3 linked regions of the Medicago truncatula genome follow. The protein of the gene in region 1 interacts with the protein of each later gene in a pairwise test. Links are inferred from orthologs where the notes say so. Each region holds a gene or a part of one and is shown on either strand. Other genes may lie near its edges. The genes, in order: transcription factor HHO3, uncharacterized protein and ethylene-responsive transcription factor 4.

Evidence for each region.
Region 2: the proteins of transcription factor HHO3 (region 1) and uncharacterized protein interact in binary tests that used the Arabidopsis thaliana proteins (3 or more experiments, as listed by UniProt). The link is inferred for Medicago truncatula from reciprocal best matches to the Arabidopsis thaliana genes AT1G25550 and NIMIN-3.
Region 3: the proteins of transcription factor HHO3 (region 1) and ethylene-responsive transcription factor 4 interact in binary tests that used the Arabidopsis thaliana proteins (3 or more experiments, as listed by UniProt). The link is inferred for Medicago truncatula from reciprocal best matches to the Arabidopsis thaliana genes AT1G25550 and ERF4.

The regions. Positions count from the first base shown.
Region 1 is NC_053046.1:24,430,176-24,441,742, reverse strand, and holds transcription factor HHO3, read right to left. Parts: upstream 6,008-11,567; 5' UTR 5,804-6,007; coding exon 5,662-5,803; intron 5,531-5,661; coding exon 5,286-5,530; intron 4,949-5,285; coding exon 4,669-4,948; intron 4,577-4,668; coding exon 4,500-4,576; intron 4,160-4,499; coding exon 3,818-4,159; 3' UTR 3,443-3,817; downstream 1-3,442. UniProt on the Arabidopsis thaliana protein: Probable transcription factor involved in phosphate signaling in roots.
Region 2 is NC_053048.1:52,915,913-52,926,636, reverse strand, and holds uncharacterized protein, read right to left. Parts: upstream 3,000-10,724; 5' UTR 2,568-2,999; coding exon 2,166-2,567; 3' UTR 1,940-2,165; downstream 1-1,939. Other genes in the region: GDSL esterase/lipase At1g09390, read left to right, coding at 1-210, 492-721; inactive glucose-6-phosphate 1-dehydrogenase 4, chloroplastic, read right to left, coding at 5,162-5,399, 5,523-5,723, 6,111-6,313, 7,429-7,549, 7,690-7,727, 7,845-7,953, 8,147-8,352, 8,499-8,613 and 4 more.
Region 3 is NC_053043.1:38,972,279-38,982,755, reverse strand, and holds ethylene-responsive transcription factor 4, read left to right. Parts: upstream 1-7,252; 5' UTR 7,253-7,377; coding exon 7,378-7,998; 3' UTR 7,999-8,349; downstream 8,350-10,477.

The sequences.
Region 1 (11,567 bases):
ATAGATTAAATTATTGAAGATTAAGAAATTAAAATTGAAAAGGATTGAATATTAAAGTTATGTTCTCAAGTTGTAATTAATAGCTAGCTAGTATAAGTGCTAGCAAGAGCAAAAGATTCAGATTCAAGTTATTGAAAATGTGACCATTATTTCACATCTTCCATAATAATTGTAACATGCCTTGGCACTTGCATAATTGAGAGGATTAATATTCTTTGTTAGGTAGAATATTGATGCTCCATTGTTATTTTAATAAAACAAATGCTGCCACTAAAATAACCCAACCAAACACTATAATTTTTCATTAGGAAAACACTTTTAAACATAAAAAATTGACGGTACAAATTTTACAAATAAAATCGAAATTCAACATTTGATATACTTATTTAGAAAGGAAGAAGAAAGTTATGCATAGGAAGAGATGGTGACTAATTGTTACCAAACAATATCTGAATCTACTCAGCAACCTATTGATCAAGTAAAATTTTCAAAGTTGAATCCATTAATTTAGGAACCCCTTGAAGCTACAAGGGTCATGAAAATCTTTTCAACAATGACACTTAATGACTTTGCAAAATTACTTCCAGTTAATTTTTGGTAAAAGTATATTAGTTTATTCCGTTCAAAGTCTAGGTAAATTAACCCGAAAATGTATTTCACCTTGCTTTCTCCAATACACTCTCTTTGATTGGTTAAAATTCACATGAGTCCTACTAAATCATCTGGGTCTCATATGAATTTGGTGGGTCTCATGTGAATTTTATCCAATCAAAAAGAGTGTGTTGAAAAGTGAGTATTAGAATGTGTGTTGCTAGCATTCCTTTTCTCTATTATGCACAAACAATTAAGTTCTGCATATCTATAATGTATAAGTTTGTTTTCTACTATTGAATCAATAAATTATTAATATCACTTTTTTATTTTACAAATATACTATTTTACATTTTGATTCAATGGTAAAACTTATTGATGTAATGATGGAAACAAATTTGGATATGGTCACATTCAGTGACGGATCCAGGATTTTTGAATAGTGGGCGCACTATATATAAAAATTTGTAGCATTAGTAATTGTCCTATAGAATTATTCATATTATGGAAACTTTAAATGATTTTCTCATTTTCAATATCAATAGAAAAACATTTCTCATATAAATAACTAAAAATTGTTTGTGATAAGTGTAGTCCATGTGATCAAAATGTCAACTATTGATATATTATACTACCCAAAAAAATTGTTTCTAAAAACTGTGTAAAGGCAAATGTCAAAAGTAATTTATATTCAAGTATTAACAATATATTCTTTAAAAAAAAAAAAAGTGCTATGAATATATTTCTTTGTTAATGGAATTGGTAGGCATGTAGATCATGCAGGGTGGAATAGTTGGTTAAAGTCAAGATATGTAAATATAAATATAAGAAATTGACATTAACATTAGCTAAAGAAGATTCGAGTTTATCCATGTGATAAGAATGAATATTTTCTTTGGAGTATCAAGCAAGATATATAACGTACAAGCGCATGGATTAATTTTGTGGATTTAAGCAATTTAATATCTAAACAAATAACCCTACGAAAAATATAAATAACTAGATATTTTGGCCTATTGAATGATTTGACCGTCAATTTGGTTGTGTTTTTTTTACTTATTTTCTTCTTAAGGCTTTGCTTCCATAGAATCAATGAAGTTTTTGCTGTCACCCTAACTTTAGCTCAGCTGTTAAGGATAATGCATTCATATATATGTAAGGTTTGGGGTTTAAACTCCGACACCAAAAAAAATTGAAGCTTTTGCCCATTAAACCTTTTTTCTTATTCAATGTTTCAATAGTGTGATTTCATAAACGAAAAACTTTTCACATTATTCAATGTTTTTTAGGGGCACATTATTCCTTCATAGTGCGGGCTGAGAGTTGCTCATTGATCTGGGGTTGCTCATGCACGCACAGGTCGAGAGTTGCTCACTACCAAGTATGGATAAGGCTTGACATCCAAGCCCTACTTGACCACTACTTATTCCTATGCTTTATCCCTGGGACAGGTATGCTTCTTACCCATATTATAGCCGCATAACTTTTGAACCTTTATTGACTTTGGCGTCAAAGCACATGCAAGTAAACTACCCCTCTTTGGTGGAGAAGGACCATCAACGAACGACTCAACAAAACCTGACCCGTAATTTTTTTTTTTAGTATCCTGTCAAGTATCAGAGCATTTTCCATTATCATAAATGTAAAGCAGAATATATTGAATTGAGAATGATGAAGTAGTACCAATTATAGTTTTAATTGAAAAAAGTAATTAATATTGAAAAAAAAGCAATTATGTTAAAACATTTTTTATACAAATGACTCAGTTATTTTGGGACAGAAGATGTACTTCTTTCGATCATATTTATAAATAAAATACAACTTTTTAGATTCATTGAATAATTAATGTATTTGGTCATATTTATAGACTATATACAATAATTATTCAATAAATCTAAAAAGTTATTTTTTAGCTGTAAACGTGACCAAAGAGAGTACTATTGATCAAGAATCTTTTGGCATTTTTAACTCCCGGTGGCCACTGGCTAGCAATATATCTCCAACTTCTTTGTCCTATGCAACACAACGTCAAACGATAAAATGAATATCGACATTGTGGTCATTGCAAATATTCTGTAGGATATTCTCAGATTCTTCCCTTTGGAATCATTAATGAGACGTTAGAATCCTATTAAGTATTAACCCCATCACATCATTATCATGCCAAATAAAAAATTGGATAATCCATCTCCAAAGTTACAAATCTGATCAATTAGGAACCATAACATAGACGGGCTCTATCTTCCCCTTCTCTTTTGTGAGCCGTCACCAAAACTCTAATTTCTTCTCCTTCATCCACAAAGAATAGATGATTTAGGGTCAATATTTGATCGAAAATCATCAATCTAACTCGTTTTTTCTATTTTCCTTTATTAAAATAAGTAATTTTCACATCTATTTCGGTTTTTCTTTTGTGATTTCGTCGTCTTAGTGCGACGTTGTTTTGTTCGTCGTCTTTGTGCGACATTGTTTGTCTTTCTTATTTCGTTCAGGTATTTGTTCGATTCAGATTGTCAGATCAGCTTCGATCTAGTGCAGATCAAATCAATGACTTTGGAGTCGTCTTGCAGATCTGGAGACATTGATATTCCGGAGACTTAAATATAGTCATATGTGTAAACTTTGATTTTTTGCTGTTTTATGCCATTAATATGGATGATGTTGTGAGTTTGTTCACATATTCAATATTAAAATTAGCATTTTTCAATTATTAAGGATTAGATAAAATTGATAAACATCGAAGACTAATATTGATTTCTGTATAAAAAAAAAAAAAAAAAAAAGAGTAACATAAACTAATTTATCATTTCATAAATTTAAGTATCAAATTATTCAACCAGTACAATTTCAATGTTAAAATGGTAATTTAATCGATTAGAAACCGAACAATTTATCCCTATAGCTCAATTGACATTGACATGCATTATTATATACAAGAACAGGGGTTCGAACCCCGGACACCCCACTTATTCATCTTGAAAAGGGTGAATTCTAGCACTAGGCTACTTGATAAAAAAAAAACCGAACAATTTTTTTAACCAAAGAAAATAGAAACCGCACAAATTGACCACCAATGTGATAAAGTTGAACATGTTGCCTAGGAAGGGCGATTTATTTACTTAACATACAAAAATGTCACTTTCCTTTCACTGTATTTTCACTTGTATAATTTAAGTCCCAAACAAAACAACTCTACTAAAACATAGCTACAAAAATGAATTATTTTTCAGCATCTTGAAGTTGTAGGTGTATGAGTGGAACATGATGAGGCAGGGGAGTTAGAATGAGCAACAACTCTTTCTACAGAATGTGAATTCTCACTCAACTCAAATTTCTTAGACTTTGGTTTTATAACTGTGGTTGTAGATGAAGGATGTGTAGCCACAGGTGCATAAATTCCTGTTGGAGTAGTAACTGTGGTTAATTCTCCTGACACTGTTGTTTTGGTGGCTACTGCAGCATATTCTTGTGGTTGGACATAAATGTTCCCTACCAAGAACATAGGAGCTGTATGTGAATTAGAATTGTTGTGAATTATTGGGCTTCTTCTTGTGTGCAGACGAAATTTCTGTCCATGTCCGAAAATTAAAAAAAGTTAGACCATAATTTTGATCATAGACAAGAAAAATTAACAATCAAGAAGATCGTATAGTGATATGTGCTAATATGAATTCGAGTTCTATGCAGTCGCAATTCTGATAGTCAAGGATCTTGACCGTTAGATTAAAGGTTAGACAGCTCGTATTCGAGTTATAATTTAAGCTTGATTTGGTATAATCAGAATACGAGATGTCTAATCTTCATCCACGGTAAAAATCCGTGGATTGCAGGGTTTACTAGCCACATATAATCCAGGTCTGAGACAGAAAATTATACAAATTATAGAAATGGAACAAAAAATAACTAACCTGTAAATGACTTTTGACTTCATCGTTGGTGAGGCCATCGACTTTCATTAGTTCCCTGATCTGTTTTGGCGTCGCAGCTGCAACATGTCACGCACAATTCACAATTACATTTGGAACAATTAATTAGAAGAATGTACTAATTATGCTGATGAGTAATATATTCACTCACAATTTGAACCGCCAAGTTGTTGAAGGGCATGCAAGAAGCGTTTGTGCAATTCCTGTGACCAGCAACGGCGCTGCTTTCTCTGACCTTTATCGTCTTTTTTGCTGCCGCTTTCAGGAACTGGTTCGGTAGAACTTGTAGCTGGTACTTGAGGCGAACTGGTTGGTGCTTTATCACTTTCTAATGCATTATCTTTTTCAGCAGCGATTTCCTCTTTGTGGAATGGTTGAAATGCTCCACCATTTCTCTTCACTTCTACGACATTTGTTTTCCTAGGTACATCCTGAACAAACATTTCACATTCTCTTAATTTCTTTTCAATTATGAAACAGACAAAAAGTTCTAAAGGAACAATTCCATTCAATGTATCAAGCAGACAATAGGCTTGATGAATTGAGTGACGCGGAAGAAGTCCTGATCAAAAGTTTCACAGTTCAAAATCGCTAATTTACCAACGTTTGCTTATAAAATAAAAATTCATTTATTAAAATCAACTTCGGTTTTGCCATCCAGAAACAGTTAGTGGTACAACTTGTTGTCTGTTTGCCTTTCAGTCCAGTGTAATTTTCCATGATTAAATCCTACAAAAAAAATTCGACTTTGGTTTTGCAATTTTATACCTCTTTAGCAGATGAAGGGTTGGGATTCCACAACTGAACAGATCTTAGCCAATCAGATTTCATCTTATGTGATGAATGTTGCTCCTCATCGTCGTCATCTTCCTCATCATTTTCATCGCAATCGGGGGACAATGCCCTTTTCTTGATAGGAATAAACTCCTCAAAAACAAGACCTTCATCTGTCGATGTCTGTTCCGAACACTCCGATTGTGTTCCAAACAACTGTTGCTTACAAGTTTCAATGGCTGCATATTCACAAAACATAACATATAAGAAAAAAGTAGAAAAACACAAACCAAAAAACCAATGAAAGAAACTTTAACATGGTATAAAAAAATGGTATATTCTTTTTTTTCTTCTGGTTTGTTTTGTTTACCTTGTGTAACAAGCTCAAGAGAAAGAGGAAGGTCTCTAGGGAAAACCTGAATTTTCTTCTTTTCTTCTTCCAATGCTAGGATATAGTCACGAAATTCCATTTTATGAGAGTGCATTTTGTGGTGGAATTGCATTGAAACCATAAAAATTTATATGAATGTGTTGTTGAGGGAAAACAGTTTGAGGAAGAGGGTAAGGATGAATATATAGGGAATGAATGAGGTTTTGTCCAAATACAGAAAAACGGATCCACCAATGAAGAATATGGGATCTGAATAGAATCAAATTTTGGAATAAACTTTGAAGAGAGAGAATGGCTTATAAACATTGAGTTCGGGTCGTCGCATACTAAGACGAATCTTTGATGCCTTTTATATTCTTGCTTTGTTTAGTTTTTGGCTTAAATATGAAAATAGTCCCGGTAAATATCTAGCGTTTTGGATTTAGTTCCTATAAAAATATTTTTTTGGTTTTAGTCCATGCAAATATAGAATATTTGGTTTTGGTCCTTGGTATTTTGTTTTAATCCTTGTAAAATCATTTCATATTGAACTTGATCCCTATAATATTCATTTTAGTCCTCATTTTGAGGGACTAAAATCAAATATTCTACATATTACAAGGACCAAATCCAATATGAATTACTTTTACAAGGACTAAAACAAAATATCAGGGACCAAAACCAAATTTTTTATATTTGCAGGGACTAAAACCAAAAAAATATTTTTACAGGGACTAAAACCAAAATGTCAGATATTTGCAGGGACAATTTTCATATTTAAGCCTTAGTTTTTTTATTTTTGGTGGCAGGAGTTTGAACCTCGGATCTTACATATATTATGCATTGTCCATATCAACTGAGCTAAGCTCACGTGAACAAGGTTGCTTTGTTTAGTTAAAGGAAAACATTGTTTTGTTTTTTTTTTAGGTTTTTCCATCAGGTGTAAATTTGCATGTTTTTTTTTTGGTGATAGATGGGGTTTGAACCCCGACTTTGCATATATAATGCATTGTTCCTACCAACTAGGGGTGGCAAAACGGATCCAACTCGTCGGGCCGGCCCGTTTAGCCCGCTATTTTTGGCGGGCTGAGTCGAAGTTTTGAACTCGCTTTTCAAAGTTGGTTCGCCCCGCTTAACTCTCGTTAAAAAAACGGGCCGACTCGTGACGAGGTGGACCGACCCGTTTAACTTGTTTTTCTTTTTTGTTTTAGACTTATTTTTTCTTTTGGATTTATTTTGGTTGTTGTATTTGTTTTTATGTTGGTATATTTTCATTATTTTGTTATTAAGTATGATGTTGAGTTCGACAACTTATTAATTATCTTGTTTTTACGACAAATTTATTTGTTGCATATTTTTTTTGTTATTTTTTTATGATAAAAGCAACATATATTTTAAAAAAAAATGATAAAAGCAACATAGTTTTTTTTTTTTTGTAACAATTAAGTTGTAAGAAAAATCATCAAAAAACTTTGTTTTTTAGGGGGAAAAAACAACTTTTTTTGATGATTTTTTGTTTGGCGGACCAGAAAACCCTAAATTTACCCTTTTTTTTGAAGTGACCCATCAAATATCGGGTCAGGTTTGTGTGACTCATTAGATATTACACTTGAGTATGGAAAATAATTGACAATCGTTTGAAATTTGAAGTATTCTAGGCTAGACTTGAGTTTTGAAGTATTCTTAAAATTTTGAGTTATGTTTGATTTTGATTGAATTAAGGATGTTTTATGTTATTTACTTTTGTTTATGACTTGAGTTTTGAAATATCTTGAAGTTTATATATGATATTTGAAGTATTTTGGAATTTATATATGATATTTTAAGTTCTATTTTTTGGTTAATTTATCCCGATTTGACCACCATGCTACATTTACATGCAAATTAAGTTCCTCCCTTAACATTTTGGTGTTGTGTTGGCTGGGTTTAGTGTTGTTGAGATTTCTTTCTTTGTTGTTATTTTTTTTCATGTCTGCGTTTGTAATCAAATTATTATTAGAGTTGTTAAGACTTTTTTTTGAAAACTCGGTATCCGATCCAAAAATCGACTAATCTGAGGGGACCAATTCCACCGCCCACTTGCGGGGGCCCCGTTTAAAGCCAGAGCAAGACTTAGCCCACCGAAATTGGCAGAGGGAATCGAACCTGAGACCTCTGGAGGAGCAAACTCCAAGATCCCAAGCCAACCACTAGGCCAACCCCAAATGGGTTTAGAGTTGTTAAGACTATTCCATGGCAGGATGCTTAAAGGCTCTGGTTTAAAAGAAAGGCTTTTGAATTAAGTTGATCGAAGGTGAATTAGCTGCTGATTACATTGCTGCTACTTAAAATCATGTTGAAGAAAAAAGATAAAAGAAGAAAAGCTTTGAAACTGGTGTCAGGATACATTTTTCCTACATCATCCATCATTTATCACTAAACTTTGATTTCAAGCATTATTTTGATCATGTTGGAAACATACATTCAAATTTTACGATATAAATTCAAATTTTATCTAGTCTTCATAACAACTCATTGTCCATCACAAAGGCTTAAGCAAAGATTTTTGGTTGTTTTGGGACTGGTTTGATGGTTTTATTGCTGGATCTGTTTGTAGTGAATCTTCTTCAAAAATTACATATTTAATTGAAATGTATTTAAGATGCTAAATACGAAATTTTAGTCAATTTTCACCTTCCCTCAAAAAAAAAAGTCAATTTTCACTTAATTTTTATACATTTTATTACAATATTAACAATACATTAATAAAAATAATATTTAAAAGTGATTTAAAAAATAATATTCTTTGAAAAAGTTAAAATAATAAATATATCTGGTTATTACTTCATAAAAATAAAGGGTAATAGTCATTTTAGTTTGTGAATGTATAACACGTAGTCGCAATATTCCATCAATGTATAAAAATTCAATAATAGTTTCTGATTGTGCACTGAGTAAGTCAAAATAGTCTTTTAAGTTAAAATGCTTCTTAATATTGTCAAATTAGTCCAAAAAAATTAGTCTTTAATTGTCATATCAGCCTCTACAAGTATTTACTTACTGTCATATCAGTCATCCTATAAAAAGAGTTAATGTCAGCATTGAAAAACTATTTTAACGATAAAGATTAATTTGAGTAACAAAATGCACAATCAAGGATCATTTTAAAATTTTGATATATTGAAAGACTATTATGACTATTCGTTACACATTTAAGGATCAATATGATTATTTCTCGAAAAATAAAATTCTATGGTTATGGTTCAGTGTTAGGTTAACAAGGACGGTAGAAATTTTCTTAAATACAACCTATTCACATGTTGTAATTGTTAAGATATTTATGTGCTAGAGTTAAATCAATTAAGCAAATCAAGATTATTATTTTTTAAATGGTTAATGAGTTACAGATCATGAAATATAATTTACTCATAATGAACAATAAACCTTGATCATAGTTTGCATGAATTAGGACACCATTAACCATGATCAATGCCGACAAGCAAAAAACCTATCAGCTAGAGCTATAGGTGAAAATTAGACTATTAAGAGTTTATATCACCTACAACCACATAACTAACATTTCTTGTTGTCATAATCACCAAATAAGCGTACTAATGCAACACACATCATAGTATATATATTGTGATCATTGTATACTATTGTGTACAAGTCCTCATTGTACCTTTCAAAGAAAGTACAATCAAATCCCTTAAAAGAGATTCATGTTTCAAATGCAACACTATTCCATTACGGAACACAACTTCTTTCTCGTAAAAGAAATGACAATCTCCCCAAAGAGATTAAAATCACATTTCATATGAAACATCATTTCCACTAGAGAAATCAGAGACAAATCTCAAATAAAATTTCCATTAGAAATAAAAAATAAAAAATAAAAAAAAGCATTTAAGCATGATAGAAATAATCAAAAGAAAATGAGAATAAATTCATTAATTTAAAAATGAACACATACAATTAATGTCTGCTCCCACTAATTAAAAATATCAAAGGACTTTACAATTCCCATATTTTCAACATGTTTTGTAAATATAATCGGCCTAAGCCCTTTAGTTAATGGATCTGCAGTCATTTCTTCGGTGGATATGTGCTCAACCTCAATTTCATTATCCTCCACCATTTCTCTAACAACTAAGAATTTAATCCTTACGAGTTTAGAAGACAGCCGAGCTATTATCACAAAATATCTTCAATGGCCGAGAAATGGAATCAACTATACCAAGAGCTGAGATAAAATTCTTTAACCACATTGAATGGGTTGCAGCACCATACAATGCAACAAACTCTGCTTGCATTGTGGATGAGGCAGTTAGAGTTTGCTTAACGCTCTTCCAGGATATAGCACCGCCAGCCATCTTGAAGATATATCCAGAAGTTGACTTCTCGTCATCAGGACATCCAGCGAAATCAGCATCAGAATATCCAATGACATTTAAATCATCAACTTCCCTAAAAACAAGCATATAGTCCTTTGTCTTCTGGAGGTATCGCATTACCTTCTTAGCAGCAACCCAATGAGCATATCCAGGAATAGACAAATATCTACCCAATACGCTCACAACAAAAGATAAATCAGGTCTTGTACATACTTGAGCATACATCAGGCTACCTACTGCGCTAGCATATGGAACATTTGACATTGCATTCATTTCAATGTTGCTCTTGGGACATTGATCCTTACTAAGTTCATCTCCTTTAACTATTGGAGCATCTCCAGGCTTGCAAGTCTCCATATTAAATCTTTTCAGAACTCTATCAATATATGCCTTTTGAGATAAACCTAATAATTTTTGGTTTCTATCTCTATGAATCTCAATACCCAAATCAAAAAAAGAGGCTTCACCTAGATCCTTCATATCAAAAGAAGTGGACAAGGTTTTCTTGGTCACTAAAAGTAAATCTAGGTTATTACTAGCAAGTAGAATGTCATCTACATACAAAATAAGGAAAATGAATTTACTCCCACGGACCTTGAGATATATACATTGATCCACCTTATTCTCCTCAAAACCCATGGAAGCAACAACTTCATCAAACTTAATATACCACTGCCTTGATGCTTGTTTTAAACCATATATAGACTTCTTCAATTTACACACCAAGTGTTCTTTATTATTCTCTATGAAACCCTCAGGTTGAGCATGTACACATCCTCATAGAGATCACCATTCAGGAAAGCCGTCTTAACATCCATTTGATGAAGTTCCAAATCATAATGTGCCACAAGAGCCATTATAATTCTAAAAGAATCCTTTGATGATACAGGAGAGAATGTTTCTTTGTAATCAATCCCTTCCTTTTGTGTGAACCCTTTAGCCACTAATCTTACCTTAAAGCGTTCTACAATTCCCTTAGCATCTTTCTTAGTTTTAAAAACCCACTTGCATCCTATAGGTTTATAACCATTGGGAAGTTCCACAAGCTCCCACACATTATTGTGATTCATCGAAATTATTTCATCATTCATAGTCTCAATCCATTTATCGGACAAATCACTACAAATTGCCTCACTATAATTTTCTGGATCTGGAAAACATCCTATGTTTGAATCCTTCTCCCCTAGAAAAGTATAGTAATCATCACGATTGACAGGCCTTCGTTCTCTTTGAGAACGTCTAATGGGTAAAGCTTCAACATGATGCTCAGGAGCGGGTGCAGGAGGGTGTGGATTATCTAAGATGGTTGGTTGTGGTTCCTCGGTTGTTTGCTCAACTAAAGGTATCTCAACTCTTTCTTGTATAATAGGTATATGTATTAGAACCTTTTCTCCTTTAGAACTTGATTCTCCAGTTTCATGACCAATTGAATCACCAACATCATTCTCAAGAAACTTTGCATTAATGGCTTCTATTATTTTTGTTCCTCGAGTAGGACAATAAAATCTATACCCCTTAGCATTATTAGGATAA
Region 2 (10,724 bases), on another chromosome or scaffold:
GCTGTCTTCCTAAATTAATTGCACTGTCTCAGAAGAAGGATCTGGATTCATTCGGATGTCTTTCTAGTTACAATTCTGCTGCAAGATTGTTTAACGAAGCACTGTATCATTCAAGTCAGAAATTAAGAACTGAATTGAAGGATGCTACCTTAGTCTATGTTGATATTTATGCCATTAAGAATGACCTCATCACAAATGCCACCAAATATGGTAATAATCCAAGCAAGCACTTTATTCTCATTAAGTATTGATTATTATTAGACTCGGGGTTATGATGCTAATCTTAATCAAGTTATTACGACATCATATTGTTTTAGTTCTAGGTTCCATTGGAAGCGAACACGTAAAAAAAATGCTTTTCAATACACTGTTTATGAAATCTCTGCTTCAGTGGAATCAAGTTATTGCACTTTCCTCTGAAAAACATTGTTGAGTGTTATTATTATTACTATCATGATTGTGATGAAGTTTGTTAATACATTATCAAATAGGTTTCACAAATCCGCTAATGGTATGCTGCGGCTTTGGAGGGCCACCTTATAATTTTGATGCAAGAGTGACATGCGGTCAACCTGGTTATCAAGTTTGTGATGAAGGATCACGGTATGTGAGTTGGGATGGAATCCATTATACCGAGGCTGCAAATACATGGATAGCTTCAAAGATACTATCGACAGCTTATTCCACGCCACGCATACCTTTTGGTTTCTTCTGTCACTGATATCTTACAATGATTAAACTATGCAAGAGGGTGAAAAATAGTGAACTACTATTATTTCATTAGCTGCTGTTTTACCGTCTATGTACTTCTCTAAGAACAGGTTTTGCCATTTGGTTATGCTCAAGCATGAAATTGAAGCCTTACCCATGTTGCATTGTTGCCAGGTTCAGATAGTGTCTTCGTTTTGCCAAAGGAGAGTGTTTGATTTTGTAATGTTGTATTATGTAAAAGAACAAATGAGAAAAAATGATGTATTTTTCGCTATGCCTCTATTATTAATTTAGGCCAAATACCTCTCCGGATCCTTCAAGTTTCATATTTGTTTCAGATAGATCCTTTAAGTTTCTAAGGTTTCAGATGGGTCAAGTTTCGAGTTTGTTTCGTATAGATCCTTTAAGTTTCTATGGTTTTAGATAGGTCCTTAAAGTTTCGAGTTTGTTTCAGATAAGTTCTTTCTATCAACCTCCGTTAAGCCAAAGTTGATCTGTCTCTTAAACCAATTAGTTTTTGCTTATTCCTTCAAAAAAAAAGATATTAGTTTTTGCGTATACATATCAGGCACTGCATTAATCCACAACACAAACATTCCCCCTCTAAGTGGATGACAATGTTTTACGGTAGGATCTAAAATGAAATGGGAATATTTTATAAATTATAGGTATTAAAAACATTTAATTTTATATGTTTTGTAGGGTGATGAGTGCTAGCAACACTCTCTTTTGAATACTCTCTCTAACACTCACTCTTTTATTGGGTAAAATCAATGTAGGACCTACAATTTGGAAATGGAACCCACATAAAGTGGTGGGACATACATTGATTTCACCCAATAAAAAGAGTGAATGCTAGGGAGAGTGCTCAAAAGATAGTGTTGATAGCATTCCTTTTTGTAGGATTTAAGTAATTCATTAATATAATGCTTGCCGAATCTATGCGGTCCTTCTCAGCTAACATGGCAATGTCACAATATGAAAGAAAAAGAATCTAAAATGAGCTTATGAACTCTGTACAACTAACCGTCGTTATCTCTAAAAAAAAAAAGGTCATTAATTCTTATTAGTTACATTAATCATTTTTATCACATGATACAAATTAATTATTATAAGAGAAAATTGATCATAATTTTTATCACATGATAAAAAAAAAAATTATAAGAGAAAATTGATAAAATCCAAATTAACAAGCTTGATAACTCTTTTACAATGTACACCAACAAAATGGCCAATCATGAAAGGCAATACATTTAACGTCAGCAAATTATCATCAACATAGTCAATATATGAAACACTAACACAGACACAGTCACACAGACACGTTGACGTGGATAATAATTTGAGAAATGAAAGTAATTGAATGTAATCAAACGGACACTAGATATATGTTCGATTTAATTCTAAAGTGTCGATACTACGTAGTAGCCAAACCTTCATATGGTATGGTATTATTACAAAGAAAGATTTAAGTCTAAGCTATTATCACTTGCTTTTTCTTTCTCTTTGTCTTCATTTTGGTTTTTTGGTGTCACTGTTGTAGTGGTTGCACTTGCAGCTACTTCTTCTTGCACATATTCTTTCTCTATTATCATCACCTCTTTTTCTTGCCGTGAAGAAGGACCAGCTGCAGCAGAAACATTACTCTTTCCCAATTCTTCACAAGCAATGAAATCTTCAAGTTGAAACGTTGGGTTCCAAATACACTTTTCCTTTTTTTCTTCACCCACCTTCTTGTCTGTTTTGGAGAGGATATCTCTTGTACTCTTTATCAAGGCAAAGAACTTCTCCATTTTCTCATCATCATTTTCTTCTTCATCTTCCAACATTTTTCTCTTCCTGTTTTCTCCTTCCATGCTCCTCAATTACTGTATCAACACACTAGCTAGCCTATATGACTAACTATATATATTTTGTATATTTATATTTGCCGTGTAGAGGAAAACAAGAATAATATTGAGAAGACTTATGGAGCTAGCTAGGTAGTTGTTTATATTTATATTGTATATTCATTCATAACATAACTATATAAAATAAGACAACAGAATATAAATCACTTAATGTGATTCCTAGCCAATCATTTAAAAAAAAGAGAAGAGAACATAAATATTAGTTTTTCATCTCTTTTTCTTTAGCCCAACTACAAAAGAAAGAACCAAAGCGAAGTAAATTGATTGAGAATATAGATTGAAAAATTTGAAACTATATAAACAATGAGATTGAATAAATTGATCAATGAACCGACTTGAATTGAAATTGCCAGGTCAGCAAATGAACAATGAAATTGTTTACTGAATTCAATGAACCAAAACCATTTTTTTTTAAAGGACAATGAACCAAAAACCATGTTGACTTGTAATAGAGGTGTGAGGTCAATACCGCGTTTGGTCAAGATTATTGGATTGACAAATATGCCCCTAAGGAGTTAAAATAATTTATGAAAGAGAGAGGGTAGAATGGTAAGTTGGTGCAAAAGATAATTTGTTTGAGGTGAGAAGATAGTTAGCATAAAGAAGCATCTTTCGTCATCCCCATTACGTAATATTTCGACCTTTATTATGTGTTATATGACTACCTATTTGCAGAGCATCTTGCGGGTAAATGGTTCCACTAAAGAGGATACTTTAGGTATAGGTATAGGTCACCATACCATGAATGGACCCCATAAAAAACATTAATCATAGAAAATTGAATCCTTAATGAATAATTAGTGTCTCAACCCGGGCACACAATATCATTATCAGATTGAAATCTTTTCTGAAATCCGCGTTACAACGTGTATGACAAACAAGATATTTATTTAATTACTCCCTCCGTTCCTAATTATAGGATCCTTTTGAAAAAATAACGGGAATTAAGATAGTGGATATTTGTATTAAATATGTTTGTAATTACTATTGTTTTTACAATTTTATCCTTTAAGAGAGAATTGATTTATGTTTCCAATATGATATTTATTGCTGATTGAAGAAAATTATGTATAATAAATAGGGGCATACATGTAAAAAAATAATTAATGTAGTTGGAAATAATAAAGGGGTCTTATAAAAAGGGACAATTTTTTTTTTCAAAAGGGTATTATAATTAGGGACGGAGGGAGTATTTGTTAGCAACTTGGAATTCAAGAAAGTAAAAAAAAACAAAGAATAGTTTTTCATTGATTAATTTAAGGAGAATGTTAACCAGTGTCCCCGGGATATTGGTTAAGCATAAAAAGAAGTAAGTTTTTATTAAAAAGTAATGTAATTATTACTTGATAAAAAGTGACAGTTTATATTTACAAGACAAAAAATCTATTTATAGATTCCTTAACCCGTGCCCCGGGCCATAGTTTACAAGACCCTTAATTTATTGTTGAATTAGTAGACCAAATGACCAATTTCAAGTCTATGCGACCAAACAAAGGCAATGACAAATAGGGTTGGTCTTAAATGACTTGACTAAATAATTAATTAAAAGTGGCTTTGAATTTGAATGATAGTGTCTGGAATTATACTAATCACTGTCATTAATGGTAATCATGGTGAGGAAGAATGGCCAGGATACTTTCATCAGGGTAGTAGAGTTATCAGAATTGTGCTAGCACGTGACGTAGGTATGGATGGATGCAAAGACAACTCATGATGCTGATTGCTGTGGTCCATATATACAGTTGAATGAAATCAGGGATGAGATTATCCACGTGCAATCCTCTTCTTTTTTCCCACGAAATTCTAGAATATTGGGTGAAGAACTACTATTTTGAGTTAGAACTACGCCACTTACATTCTTGCTTAATATGCAGTTTTGTTTTTGTTCATTTCTCTGCTAAGTTAAACGTCATTTGAGTGACATACTTGATCATCCTACATGATCAGTAACATGACCTACTCATAACTCAGCCACCACGCAAACAAGAGGGTAGAAAAAAACCTCCAAGTAGATGAGTGTGTATAAAGGAGTAAATATAAACTTAACTACAAACACCAACGAAAATTTCATAAAGCCATCTAAGAGAGAAAGATAAAGCTTAGCTTGCACTTAAACGTTTTAACTTTTATAGGATACGTAATCCTATACTCCAAGTAAATGTAATAGGAGTTTCAATCTTTATACTAGTGTGTATCTTCTCCAATCTTCTAATAAAAGAAAAAAGTAACTGAAGGTAAAATACCTTAACAGATACTGAAACATGATCTTTCAGACATCCCATATTTGAAACTCCTCTAAAAGAAGAGAAGAAAAGTTGTTTAGCCTTCATCTCTTTGCTTTCCATTTTTATTTAGTTACTTTTCTTCCCTTTTCCTCCCAAAAATCACTCAAAAACTATAGTTTTCACTTTTCAAGATCATAATATTAGGCCAATTATATGTTCAAGTACATTAAAAAATACTTATAGCCTTGGTGGTGTAGTCCAAGGTAACTGGGAAGGTGAATATGAACACAGTAACGAGTTTAAGGGATAGAAATGCTAATCCTCTACCCAACGGACAGCGTGTTTTGCCCAGAGGTAGTATGCTCCAACCGGACCGCGACCACCCAACTCATAAAGCTCCACTGATACATTGTCCTTGTCTATCTCATTCAGAATCGGAGTTAGAATGTTCCATGCAGCTGCCAGCTCATCGCTTCTCATAAACAGATGATTATCCCCATCAATGACATCAAGCAGAAGATGCTCGTATGAATCCGGCACCTCAATGTTGTACCTTAAAAAACATTAATGAACAAAATTAGGCAGATAAAAGATATTTAATCAAGCACGCGGGTTAGAAGCATTTGGTCAAGGTATGATGCAAACAAATACTATAATCAAACACGGTAGTGCTTACTTGTCCTTGTAAAGCAGATTCAATTCTGAAGAGTCCAGTTTTAAGCCTAATCCTGGAACCTTGTTGTTAACTCTCACCAGAATGGCTTCATCAGGATCATCACGAAGAATGAGCTCATTTGTGGCACGGCCAATATTGTGCCCGATGCATTCACGGTAAACATTTCCTGGAACATGTCGAAATTGAATTCGTATCTCCATTCTGCATTAATACAAAATTTTGAACCTTTGTCAAAAAATGACATGAGTTTTGAACAACAAATTTTCCGACTAGTTCTACATAAGCCTATAAATTGCATCATTCAACAAATTATTGCATGCAAGCAATAAAATCTAGACCAATATTTCTTTCATGCGAGACCTGGGGGCAGGGACAGAAGGAATCAGTCCTTTTCCCCTTTATTTGACCACTTTGTCAGAGTGGGAAACAACATAAATTTTGCAATTATTACAAGCTCAACACACACCCCATCTAGAAGATCTAAACTCGCAGCAATAAGAAGAAAATACTGGAACAGGGACAGGCATGCCATGGAATCTAAATATATAATCTAGTACATAAAATTGACAAAACGATGATAATTTTTACTGGTGTTTGATGAGTCCTAAGCCTGTTTTAACCAAAAACGGTACACCATCCCATCGTGCATTGTCAATGTATAGTGCAGCAGCGAAATATGTAGGTGTGGGACCATCTAAGCACTTATCAACTTTGTCTCTGCAACTTGATTTATATTGGCCAAGAATGACATCCTTGGGCTCCAATTGGCGAATTGATCTTAAAACCTTGACCTGGAAAGAAGCTAATTACTTGTACTAGGTGATAAATGGAAACCATGCATCTTTCAAGCTGTCATTCGTAACAAACCACTCTAACATCTTAAGAAGTTGTCCTTAAAAGCAGTTATTATGTATAGCAATGGTGTATTTGTGATTTAAGCATGGATAAATATGTTTTAGAGTAATTTCTGTAGAATTTAAGATTTTACATTTTTGACATGTCAAATAGGTAATTTTTCTTCAATTGTTTCTTTATTTAGTAGTTAATACGCGAAGGAAATGAATTAGTAGAACTCAAATTCACTCAAAAGCACACAATGGTTCTAGCATTTGAGCAACAGAATGCCGGCACCTATTGTGCACTGGGAAAAAGGCAAATTACTCGTGTGATAGTCAGCACCGAAGTGTTGGTCAGTCAGCACATGATTACTTACACATGCTTGCATTGCCTGCGTATTTCAAAGTACCCCACAGTGCCATCGACACCTCGGTGCTGGAATGTCACAGCCTATACTGATAGTTATTTTTGCCTGACAGTATAAAAGGATAGTATGATGAATCTAAAAAGACAGAACGGATCATCAGGTGAACAGACTACGTAGAAAGTACAATATCGATTAATTGGGAAGGGGGAAGTCCTTACTCTTGGAAGACAGTCATATGTTCATTTCCTTTGCATGAATTCACCAATTTTCCTTATTTCTTTTTTTATGCTTTAATCGTGTTTTAACTAAATTTCTCTATCCGAATCATTTCAATACAACCACAACCAAGCCTTACCCCACTAAGTGGCGCTGACTTACATTGATCAAATTACGCCATAGTGTTCTATCATAAACCATATGTTACAATCCGAATGATTTCAATACATGACATTAATCATCATGGCAACAATATTTTACATAATTTATTACTTATCCAACTCAGTAAGTTGTTTAAGGCATAGCATTATTTTCCTTTTCTTGACTAATCATGTTTTAGCTAAATTTCTCTATCCGAATGATTTCAATACGTAACATTAATCACCATGGCAACAATATTTTACATAAATTTATTACTTATCAAACTCAGTAAGTTGGTTAAGGCACATCACTAAGTATGCTATAGATTATAGTTTGTACAAGTACCTTTTCATTTCGAATATCTTCTCCATCAAGGCTAACTGGTGGTTCCATGGCAAGCAATGCAATTGTTTGGAGCACATGGCTGTGAACAATATCACGGATAATCCCATAGCCACCGAAATACCTGCATGGGTAACAAAGCATTAAGCTGAAATCATATCACAAGCAAAGACACGTTGACTGTAATTTTGTTTATGCATATTCAGTACAGAATGACACGTTGTAGTGTATTTACTCAAATGACAATACAACCAATATGATCACCTTCCTGGATGCACAGCCAAGTCCTCTGATAAAATGACCTACAGAAATTGCATTAAGAAGATGATAACAAACATTAAATTTCAGAATAGACATTTGGTTTTTCGTTGAAGTTTAGAAATTCAGGGATGCCAATCAGATAAAACAAGGGTGCTGACCTGCACATTATCTATGTAAGTTCGACTCCATAGCGGCTCAAAAACTAGATTGGCAAACCTTAGAACTGTGAGATTTTCAATGAGATTCCTTCCTAGAAGATGATCAATCCTGACAACAGATTGATGAGAATCATCAGTTTATGAACAGTATTTCTGAGTGTGCCCAAGTGGTTCATCCGAACCAAATATTTTTATTGGATTAAATTTTTCTCTCAAATACCGGACCAAATCAACCGACCAGTCACGCATCCATTTGTGTGCATGAGCATATGGGTGAAAATGGGAGAAGAAGGTATGAATACCTATATAGTTGCTTTTCCTCAAACTTCGAGAGAAGATATTGTGTCAGCCTTTGGGAAGAGAGAGCATCAAATCCAAATGGCTTCTCAATTATTATGCGATTCCATCCCTTTTGGGTCTGAGCACTGCTTGCAAGACATGAAGCAACGTCCAAAAGTGCTTCTTGTGGCACAGAAAGGTAGAAAATCCTATTGGTTTTGGATCTTCCCTGAAGTAGATAATAAGCTGTAGTAGAATCAAATATCAAAGGGCGGACAGCTCGTAAAGAGTTTACACACTACAGGAACTCACTTGAGAAGAAAAGAACTACTTTCATACATACTACTAAAATTAGAGAAATTTGTTCGAAGCTACCTCGATCTGCTCCATTTTGGCCTTCAGTAAGGACACCCCGTGTTTGTTGTCGTAACCTCCATTGATGTAGTGTGTTCTATTAAGGAAAGCTTCTATTTTGTCCCCACAATCCTGCCTGAAATTGGAAGATTTTATATTTCACATTAATGTAAAGTAAAAGGTAGAAGTATCCTACAATATTGACCGTATACAGTGGGAAAAACGAAGATGGACTTCATTAATTCACTTTCAAACCAGAAAGCTTTATAATTTTCTGTTTCAAATGAAATGGGGCAATTTATTTGCAAAAGTGGAATTGGTTGTAAATTTACTGATAGATTTTCTCTGCTATAAATTGGTTGTAAATTTTTAATAAATCACTACCTAGAAAGCAGTTTCCCAAGTTGGCATATGAAGGATTCAGTGCAACCTACTAAAGATTTTGTCTATGAATGGAAACTATATATAGAAGGTAGTAATTTGGGAATTGAAAAGAAAACCATACTGATGATCAACTCGACATGTTAATGTCGAAGCAATAATGGATCGTAGGTCTTCGTCAGTTATATTCTTCCTTGAATACCCAAAAATGGCCACATTCTGCAGACATGCAATGCAAAATCAATATATATTAAAAGTTTAAAAGGGTAAACATTGACTAGGAATATTAGTCTGCATAACTCTTATGTTCCACTAACAAAAAATAAATAAATTGGATTACATATCATGAGTTTATATAGCAGGTGGATGATTCACTTTGGTCCAATGTGAGTCTATATTAACTATTATGTCCCAACATATGAAGTGAATCTTTGATATGCATGCAAGAGAAATCAAGAAAATCTGTTAAATTGTACCTCAGGGAGAAAGCCACTGTAGTAGAGCGCAAATAAAGCTGGAAAAATCTTCCCCCTCGCAAGCTCACCAGTGGCTCCTATGACAGCAATACAAAGTGAAGGTTCTCTACTAACATCCATGGGAAAGGCCAAGGAACTTGTTTGCAGCAAAGATGCAGACTCCAAGGAAGAAGTGACCTTACTATCTGTGAGAACATTATAATAAAAAATGAGTATAAAATTAAATTTCATAAACACCACTCTTTTTATTTATAATTTTTTTTCCACATGCATCCTATAACATCTCACCATATAGATTTTCATATTATATTCGTGAAGATATTTTAAGAACAAATATAACAAGTGAATGAAGATGTGGTTTAAATGTATGCATATGTAAAAAAAAAGTTTTACGCTTAGTCCATAGATATTATGATATGTTTGAATCGAGTTATTTGAGCTTATATACTGCTGATACATGTATTCGTGAGACTCATTGGTAATGCTTGTGAAACAATTTATAACATGTCCATAAGCTTTTTTCAGTTTATTTTCATAAGCTCTCCAAAGTATATGAAATCAGCTTATAGCTTATACGAAAACAGCTCAACTTTATTTATAGAAATAAGTTATATATAAGTGTGCTATCCAAACAAGGTAATATCTTATTAACCATGTAAATTATAATCAGTACCTGATTTCAACATAAGAAACACTTTAGAAATTTCAAGACAAGTAAGTTACATTACATCACATAAATAGAAATAGAGATTGGTAAGTTAACACACCAGCATCATCATCATTAAGTAGACGAGATGAATCAGAAATTGATCCTTTCACATTCTTGAAGTGATTTCGACAGTTAAACTGCTTTGGATGTTGAAGGTTGAGTCTATCAAGTATCCACAGTTTGAAACCACGAAATTTTCGACAGAAAGAAGAGCTTCCAACACTTGCTACTGAATGAAAGCTGCTTGATGCAACCTGCAACAATTAACAAAAGAAGATTAAGCGTCTGGTTCGTATTAGAGGCTACAAATTTCTAAGGGGAAACAAAAAAATACGGTAATATTGTTGAAATTTGAGCATGGATGTGTTGATCTTGGAAGTGAGAATGAAGATTCAGAGAATGGTAGGGATGTTGAAGAGAAAGAGAATGACATTGTGTTGTGATGAAGTGATCCTTGTATGAACTGTGAACTCAAAATCTAAACTCAGCTTTTAAGTTGAGATATCTTCAGCGTGTCAAACACTGTTGACGGTTATGGATAGACTCTCTTCAAATTAAAGTTAACTCCTTCAACAAATTTAGGCTCTCTTTTTCTTTTTTTTTTTAGGAATGATATATCAACATTATTTTTATACAACAACTTCTTTACAATTTTTTAATATTGTTTTACCGATTTTGATT
Region 3 (10,477 bases), on another chromosome or scaffold:
GGAGAGATGAGTGTAATTTCCTCTAATTTATAATATATTTGTAAATCACTAACGCTAGCCGTTAGTTTGTAACTTCATAGTGTTTTGATATGCTCTAATAAATTATTTACCTATGCATCCTATTTGACTTAATTATGAGATATGCTGTACAATAATGATTAATCAATAAGGTAAAATCGTGCGAACGTATATTAACGCAAGGCACACAACTTAAGACAAAGTGATTTCATATATTGAAAATGACTACCATCTTGAAGACAAATTACAATAAATCCATGACAATAATCTATGTCCTAATAATTTCAAAAAATAGAATTTATGTTGTAGCCACGCTTACACGATCATTCAGTTGATTCTCTATCAATTATGTATGATATGGGAAACGTATTAATTCAGGAGGTTCTTTGTCACATCGACCGTTGAAATTGGATTTGAAAACAAAAGTACATAATTATATGAATTTCTAATGACGCGTATTTCCATTAGTAATATTTGTTTTCTTATGATTCTCTTGCTTCAAAATTCGGCAAAAATATGGGCTTCAAAATTTCAGTGGTTAATGTGTGTATTTTGATTCCGTATAGCTTTGGGACTTTGCATCAACCTCTCAAATTAGTGTAAGTAAGTTATAATCAAAACTAGTACAGCACGAACAAGACAGAGACAGAGACAGAGAACAACTCTCACTATAAGGAAGAATGAGATAAAATCAGGAAAATGTATGTGATTTATTAGTTCGGTAAGCTAGGCAAATCTAATTTTGTTTCTACTTTCTACACATGGAATTGATCAAGGGCTGCTACGACTTGCAATAGTTTGTTCTAGGCTTATAATATGACAAATAAAACTAACTTCTTTGTCAACCGTCAATTGTAGATTTCTTACCATAGATTTGTTTGTAACGACTTATTTAAATATATCTATTGACATAAGTATTTGTGAGATGGCTTAAGAGAGTGAATAGAAAATATATTGATCTAATATTAGAGAGATTGATAGGTCGAGCTGGAACATCATCTGTCAAGATGAATGTTGGTGGGTCGTACATGCAAAAAATGTGACGTTATAATCATTAAGAGAGTAAAAAGTGAGATTTATCAAGTGGAAGAGAGTGTGTACCTTGCATTGTAGTGAAGGATGTCTTTTATATGCAACAAAGGGGATCTCTTGGGGAGTAATGGGTGGTTTGTTATGGACAACGCTCATGAATGAGCTTGGCTTCGACAACTGTTAATAGCCATTGTGACGTTACATAACAGGGAGGATCCAAGGTTGCAAAGAATCCGATTAGACCTTCGTTTTCTCTGCCTTATGGGTTTTGGGTCGGTACATAATAGTTTCCCTCCAAGTCGTCCGTCCAAAGTTAATAGTGGTGACTTTGTAATCTGTTGTACAAGGAGAGTGTGGTGGGTTAAATGTCCATTTATGTTTTCGTTGATGAACTAAAGAGGATTATTTTGAGAAGGGTCTTTAAATGTGTTAACGATGACAATAATATGGTGATAATTCTCTGTTCGGACACAAATGTTTTGACTTTTGCTCAAAGTGTTGAGAAAAAGAAGTGTCCTCATTCCACTTTTTCTCAACGTTGTGTGTGTTGTGGTCTTAATTAGAATTCATCAAGTAAAATTTTATATTGTTGGTTTAATAGTGAGGGAATTTGATTTGATGAGAGAATACTCGAAGAGAACCTTTTACTATTGTTTGGGACAATTCACTAATTAGATGGTTTTTCAAGGAGGATCGTGCTAAGGAAGTCATGTTCATGATCATTCCGACTCCTATCCTCGAAAACGTGACTTCAATGGACTTGATGATTGGCCTTCATGTGCCAAGTATTGAGCTTATACTTTTAGCACTTGAATGCAAATATTTGTTGAATGATGATTGTAACACCCTAATTTCCACATTTTATTTTTATAATAAAAATGCATTTAAAATAAAGAAACGTGCGAGAGTGTCACACTTCTTAATCAATAAAAAAGTACTCCATTTAATATTAAAAACATCATAGTCGAAAAGTTCTCAAAACATCGAAGTAAATTTTCACATCTAAAACATCCACAACAAAACTGAATTCTAAAGAATTCTAAACCAGAGTCTAAAATAAAATAAACTCCCAATCCCTGGTGTCACAGATCAGAGCATCGACTCGATAAAAATCACAAAAGAAAGTTGTAAAAGAGGAATAGGCTCCAAAGCCATCCTCGGAAGACTCACTGCAACTAAGTGTCATCAGCCTGTAAGTCTCTAGTTTATCGAATAGATGAATTCCTACGGTTGAGTCTCTCCCTGAGCTCTTCTCTATTTTGTCTCCTTTACCTCTTTTCTCCACAACCCTATTTTTCTTGTGATCTCTAATCTTTTTCTTTGTTTGTTGTAACCTTATTTTCCTGATATTCTCATCTATTTATAGAGACTATTTAAGGTTTAGTTGTTCTGAAACTCTATTCTTATCTTTTAATAAATTTAAAATTTATTTATTTTTATTTTCTCACATAAACTTTGGACACATTAACTACCTGCACCCCTACTTCCATATTTTTACCAAAAAAACTATTTTCTTCTTAAAAATTATTTTCTCTCACTATTTATTATAGTTTAGTACTCCATCCGATCCTTTTTATAAGAAAAGAAACCAAAGATCATCAAAACCAAGACAATCATTAGTGGTTGTAATTTTTTGAATGTTTTTACAAATATACCCTCATAAAAAATTGTGAAGTATTAAATATACCCACTAATATTAAAAGGACAAACATTAAATTAGGGTTGGAAAAGTCTTTTAAACAATAAATGTAACTTAAAAGTCACAACTTTTTCTTATATATTTGACCAAAGTTTTTTTTGAAAAATTTCTTATAAATAGGACCGGAAGGAGTATTTATTACTCCCTCCACTTTTATGCTTCATTTTGTTCTTGTTCTTGCTTTATAATGTTCATAGAAATAGACTTTCAAAGTGGTGGAATTTTTCTTTCAAAAAAAGTGGTGGTATTTTTTAACTCCGATGTAAATATATTTAAAAAGTTACATTAATTAATAACAATATTGATCTTGATGTTTATTTATTTTGCTTCTTATTATATGGAGTAGAATAAATATTTCTTCGCCTCGATGTGTGTCTGTCTTGATTTTGATTGATTAAACTAATAGTTACGATGTGGAAACCAACAACTTTTTTAACTTGTCAAAATATTACAGCTCAATAAACATATCAACAAATCAAAACCAACACTAAAGCGATAAATCACTACAACAACAAGGTAAATCAAAACTTGAGTCAAAATCTTTTTTATTCATTGGTAGATGTTGGTTATAAAATTACCTTTGAAGTAAAAAAGTATTAATATGAACATTTTCATGTACTAGAACACAATCTGAGGAATAAATTATCTTTTTTTTTTTTTTTTATCTCAGTTGCTCATGTATACCATTTATACAAAAAATTAAGAACGAATAATTGAGTATATGTACCGTCGAAAAAAGGCAAGATTAGATTCTAATTTCCATGAGAGAAAACAAAGTATGATTAAACATACTTTTGTTCTATTGAAGCCAAATAATAATCTCGTTGATTGTTACCTATTTTTATCGATTTAAAGTTTAGATAAAAATCACTTATTTTCTTTTCTTTACTCTAATTTTCTCCTTCTTTTATTTTTACAGAGTATATATGAAAATTAATTAGCAAATAAAAAAGGTTGTTGGAAAAGAATTTCAAAGGGAGAGAAAAAGAAAGGACGGCAGTAGAACGATGATGACATTTCTATCTAAAGATGGCACCATATTCCTGTGCGTGTCTCCCGCAAGGGATCCAAACACCACGTGTCACTCTCTCAACCCATCTCCACTCTCCACCGTCCGATCAAATCCGAAACATTCAAACAACTTTCTTCATGATCCATCTCACGCGGCGAAGAGGCGGAGAATACCGACAAATGTCTTACACTTAAACGCCGTCATAAAAGTGACGGTTCAGTTAACTGACGTTAAATAAGAAACGCAGCCTCGTACCACGTGTCGGGTTTAAAACGAAGCAGCGTGGATAGGGGCGGCCCTGTCTTAACGCAATTATTTAATGATGTTGGTGGGTCCCACTTTCACGCTCTCTCTCGGCGCTGGGGCGGCGCGGTGCTTTAAATCCAGTTCAGTCAACTTTACCTCGTTGACCGTGCCAAGTGTTTTCTTAACATGGGTGAGGTTTGTGTGGAGCGTGTGAGTACGCGCTTTGTTTTGTTGAGCGTGTGGGGTACTTTTTTGCTGCACGTGTAACCGATTTCACTGTTTTTTTTAGTAGGAGTAATCTCTTTAATTCTTGTTGTCTCTTCCTATGGAGATGCTTTTATACCTCATTGCCCCCTTTTCTTTTTGCATTGCCATTATAGCCCCTTGGGTGAGTTTTCCTTTCTATTCACCAAAAATCAAATATGAATTTTCTGTTTAAAAATAATCAACAATTTTACATTGGACAATAAAAGTGTATAAATGAATGAAAGTAAAATTAATTAGAAACTAGAATTGAAAAAAAAAAATTGTAAGTATTGTCTCAAATGTAGGGAGTATTGCCTTATAATTTCCTAAAAAAAGAAGTTAAAATGTCATTTCTTTTGAAACTCTTCTTTACAAATAAGTCACTCATTTTTTCAAAGATTTACAAATATGTGACTTATTATTTGTCATTATTGTATTTCCTTATTTAGTTGAAAATTCGGGTTAAAAATATTAGAGGATGAGTAGTAGAGTATTCCATCCGTGTCAAAATATAAGCAAAATTGACTTTTTAGGTTCATTCATTTAATGATGTATGTGGTCATGAACCACATACATCATTAAATAAATGAACCTAAAAAGTGAATTTTGCTTATATTTTAAGACGGATGAAGTATTAATTATATGAGTGTATTAATTGGGGAAAACTAGTTTTGACCGAAAGTAATTTGACTATGTCTATATGACTTTAAAAGAATGAATAATGATCTCAAACGAAGGACTCCAAGTTTGCTAATACTAGTAAAAAAAGATTTACATTAACATGAATATAAATTAATCGGATATTACAAATACTAGTATAATTAAAGTTCATCAAAATTACTTTTATAAAAAAAAATATAAATAATGATTGTTAGAATACTAGGAGTGGTTTTCCCCTAAAAAAAGAAAAAGAGGAGTGTTATTTGAACAACCATTTGGTTGACAATTTTTGGGACAACCATAATTTACAAAGAAAAAATTGGTATTTGCACGAAAACCAAAGCAATAAAGAGATAAAGTAAAAAATAATGTAAATATGAAAGAGAAAGTTGTCACAAAAATTATCATAAAATGAATGTTCAAATATCATTTTAAAAAAAAAAAAAGTATAGTAGGAATGGTTTTGGCAAGTTACCATAGGTACCACAAGAAGACAATAAAGAAAGGGCAACCAATGTTTCGGTAGTACCATACCAACACCAGAACTAGAAGTGTGAAAGTTATTTTTAGGGTAAAGAGATTCGACAGTTAAGATGCCGAATTTTAGCATAAAATGCCGTTTTCCTATTTTGCCAGCTCCAGTACCACAGCACATTTTGCCGTCAAACATGGGTTTACAGTCAATGGTGACACTATTAGTGGAAAATCTACTAGCACGCTCCAAAAAATGAAATTTTTTTTTTTCTGATCCACTTTTCGAAAAAAAATTCAAGTCTGACCCCCTTTGGAAAAAAATTCCCAAAATGACCCATTTTTGGTTTTTTTTTTTTTTGTTTTGTCTTTTAGTGACGTTCCCGCCACCTGAAATGGCGGGACTGGCCGCCGGATCTGACAGCCGTCGCGTCAGGCTGGCGCTGCTTTTTTTTTTTAATTTTTTTTTCGTTCCCGCCGTTTCATCTGGCGGGACTGATTATTTTATTATTTTTTTCGTTTTTTCTATTTTACAATTAAATAATAATGATAAATATTTAATAAAAAAACTACTTTCTCCGCGGAAACCAATTACGCCAATGTAAACTATGACCTCCCGTAGCACATAATTTATCTTTTTTTCGTTTTTTCTTTTTATTTTTTTGGCAGCATTGTTTTACATTTTTTTTTTTGAACAAATAGCATTTTTTTACATAAAATAAAACACAACAAATAATAATGATAGATAAAAATATATTAATTTATTTGAACACATAATACATAACGTTATTAACTACCGATTATTTAAACTCGGACAATTTCTCCTAATATGACCGGTATGCCGACACAACCCACACCGTCTCGGTGTTGGAGTCCTCTCCACCACCTCCTCGTCCATTTCAGTCCTTATGCGGGTACTATTGGGTCGACCTTTCTTTAGTCTTCGCATGTTTGGATTATGGCAAAGCACGGGAGGTCATAGTTTACATTGGCGTAATTGGTTTCCGCGGGGAAAGTAGTTTTTTTATTAAATATTTATCATTATTATTATTTATCATTATTATTATTATTATTTATCATTATTATTTAATTGTAAAATAGAAAAAACGAACAAAATAATAAAATAATCAGTCCCGCCAGATGAAACGGCGGGAACGGAAAAAAAATAAAAAAAAAAAAGCAGCGCCAGCCTGACGCGACGGCTGTCAGATCCGGCGGCCAGTCCCGCTATTTCAGATGGCGGAAACGCGCTAGAAGACAAAAAAAAAAAAAAAATTCAAAAGTGGGTCATTTCGGTATTTTTTTTTCAAAGGGGGTCATATCTGAATTTTTTTTGGCAAAAAGGGTTAGAAAAAAAAAATTTCCCAAAAAATCAATCACTTATATTCTTTTCGTAATTTAAATGCCAAATAAAGACACTTTACGTTCAAATATCATTTCGCAAACTTAAAATAGGAAAGAACACAACCTAAAATGAATGAAATTAGAAATTAGAAATTACAAAAGTTAGTCAACTTTTTTTTTTTTTTTACAAAATGTTTTACTACTAGTGATTTTTAGGTGTAGTCCAATTGAAGGGAACAAAGGTTCTAGATTAGAACAACAATGAATAGGGAAATGAGGAAAAATAAATGAAGCTCTCGAGTAACTAACTAAACCAAAGACAAAGAGGATTGGGAAACAAGCAGCTTGGAACAAAAGTGGTTTGGTTCGTGTTAGAGAAGACACGTTTTGTGTAAATAACAATCGCTTAAAAGGAGCGTAGCTTTATAACTCCTCACACCACGCAGTCACGCACACACGCACGCGCCGTAGTTTCTTCTTCTCTCTCCTCATTCTTTCCTATAAAACCACCTTATTCTCCCCCTTGTTTCCCTCAGACATTGTCTCAGTTTCACAATTCACAAAAAAAAAAATCTCTTTATGTTCATTCTGTCTCCCATTAAACCAAAAAACAAAAAACTTCTCACTTTCAATTTTCAATTTTCTCACAATGGCTCCAAGAGATAACAGAATCACCAACACCACCACCGGGCCTGGGCCAAACCCATCAGCCCAGGCTCAAGCCCAGAAAGAGATTCGTTACAGAGGTGTAAGAAAACGTCCATGGGGTCGTTACGCCGCTGAGATCCGTGACCCAGGTAAAAAAACACGTGTCTGGCTTGGAACATTCGACACCGCTGAAGAAGCAGCGCGTGCTTACGACAAAGCGGCACGTGAGTTTCGCGGCTCAAAAGCGAAGACAAATTTTCCAACGCCGTTGGAGATTATCAACAACGGTAGCCCTAGTCAAAGCAGCACTCTTGAATCACCGTCGCCACCTCCGCTTGATTTAACTCTCACACCATTCTCCTCCTCCCACGGTGGTGTTACCTTGGCCTATCCGGTGGCGCGTCCTGTTTTGTTTTTTGACGCATTCGCACGTGCTGAAACAGCCCTAACCGTTGGCCGTCGTGAGATGTGTGGATTTGAACGTCCCATGGCTGATTTTCGACGCGCCGCCGTGCAGAGTGACTCTGGTTCTTCTTCCTCCGTTGTTGATTATGAAGGTGTGCCACGTCAGAGACTCTTGGATCTTGATCTTAATGTTCCTCCACCACCTGAAGTTGCTTGATCTGGATCTATTTTGAAGACCCATAAGCAAAAAAAAAATTAATTTTTTTTTTTCTTTTCGTTTTTTGAAGTACCCATTTTGATGAACGGAATCACTCTCGTGAAAAATATTTAACGAAGAAAGAGAGAGAGAACGCAAAGTGTGTTGCTGACATGGTGCTCAGATTTGTTCATGAATATGATGATAACGAGCACGCTTTGTAAATATAACTGAAAGAAGGAACCTTATTAATTTTTGCAACTGAGAACTTGTTATTAGTATCTCATGGTTGTTTCTGCAATTAATCTTAAATTATGAATTGAAATTTTAGTTAATTACTCTATGATATGTTATGGTAGCATTTTTATTTGATTTCATTCTAGTTTGTTTGTTTGATCAAAGTTCAAACGTTATCCACTAGGTAGAGAATATGTATATTTTATGTTCACTTTTTTTAAGGTACAGTTCAGATTTGTTTCTATGTATTCGGTTGGATTTGGCTGTGGAGATTTTACGATTACAAGCATGTGAATGTTGCCGCCGCTGTGAGTATAATTAGGTTAGGGTATTTTTTTTCTCAAACGAACGTTCTTTGATTGGTTTGTTCTTTTCGAATACTAGTACTAGTAGTAATGGTTGTATTTTTAATTGATGTTTGGCTACACTAGATTGTCAACATGGGCTCCACTTTCTATCAGAAAATTTATTAAATGTAAGGTTTGTTGTTTCACCTCAGCAAAAAAAAGTAAGGTTTTTTGCGTGAATCAAATGACTAAACAATTGTGCTTCTATGGGAATTTTGATTGAACATTGTAAGTTAATTAGGTGAATTTAATTATTTTTGAATGAAACAAATGACTTTACATCTTCATTTCGGATTGAATTTTAGACCACAAATACACTAATTGTAAATTTGTTGAAATTGTCTACTTAAAATAAAACAAAATCTCAACTTTTATAGTAAAATGTTTAACACAAATTTTAAATTCTTCAATTAATGAATCGAATTCGATTTGAATTATATTAGTCTCAAAGTAGCAAACAGAAGAAAGGAACATTTTGAGGTTGATGATGAGAAGCGTGGGTATTTGATCTGAATGGTTCAGAAGAGTCAATAATGGTTGAGATCAAATGGATTAATGGTATCGTGATTCGTGTATTGATTGGCTTATCTTGATAACGGCGTGAATCTCAATGCAAAATTTAATCCTACGGCGTTATATGCGGCTAGGTCCACCAAATAAAGATAGAGAGAGAAGGGTCCTCGTGTGTGTGTGAATCTCATATTCCTGTGTTCTGTTGTGTTGCGTGTTGTTAAAAAAGGAAAAAATGATTATTTAAATGAGATTAATTAACTAATGTTAATTAAAGTGCAGGCGGCACCGACGGCGAAAACACTGCGTACGAAAAGAGACCGAATCAGAAGCGGGCGTGTTTGGCGGTGGGCCCCAAACGTGTTGACTATGTGTCTGTCGGATTTCATGTTGTCTTCACGTGATGTTTCAGCGCCCCCATCTTTTCTCTGTCTCCACCTTTTCCTACTCTTTTTTTCTTTCACATTTCCAAACTCTAATTTTGGTGGAACAAACTAATACTCCAACTCCAATCTTTTCATTTAAATTTAATAAATATAAAAAATTCCTTTTTTAAACATTTAAAAAATCATTAATAATACTTACATTTAACCTTTGTTTTGTTTGAGAGAAATAAGAAAGAGAGATTTAAAGAAGAGAGAAATAGAAGAGAAGTAACAAACTTCTCTTGTTTGGTTTGAAGAGAAGTTAAGAAGAGAAAATAAAAAATGGTGGGTCAAATGTCATTATACTTTCTCTTCAAACTAGAGAAGAAATTGTGAGGAATGGCAGGAGAGAGTTTGCTGTTCAGATTTTTCCATATAAAAAGAGAGTTTGCTGTTTAGATTTTTCCATATAAAAAATCACTTTTGCCACTCATAATATGCCTGGTAAAGTGATAATTTTAATATTAACTAAAAAAGTGTTGTTTTTTTATTAAAGAAAATAAAGAACCTGATATTTTAAAAATGTATCAAAATCTGACGTTTAAATTGTATTTATTTTAAATTTCTTTTTTGACAGAAGTTGTATTTACTTTAAATTAAAAAAACAAAGATAAAAACTAAATAGTATATGGGTTCATTTTAATTTAAAAATTAACTAAATTTAATCAAGGATATATTTGTCTTTTTCAAAGGAAATATAATATCACTTTTTTATAAAAATACACTTCTCTCTTCCCTATTTCTTTTCTCTTATTCCTATACCAAACAACCTCTCAAATCTACTCTATTTCTCACATATTTCTCTCTTCTCAAACTCTCTCTTACCTATTTCTCTCTTTACTATTTCTCTTCCAATCCAAACACACTATTAATGAATTATGTTCAAAATATAAATATACTTCAATTTTATTCTATTAGGGAAAAAATATACTATACTTCAATTCGTTTAAATATCTATTTTTGAAATAGCCAAATTAATGC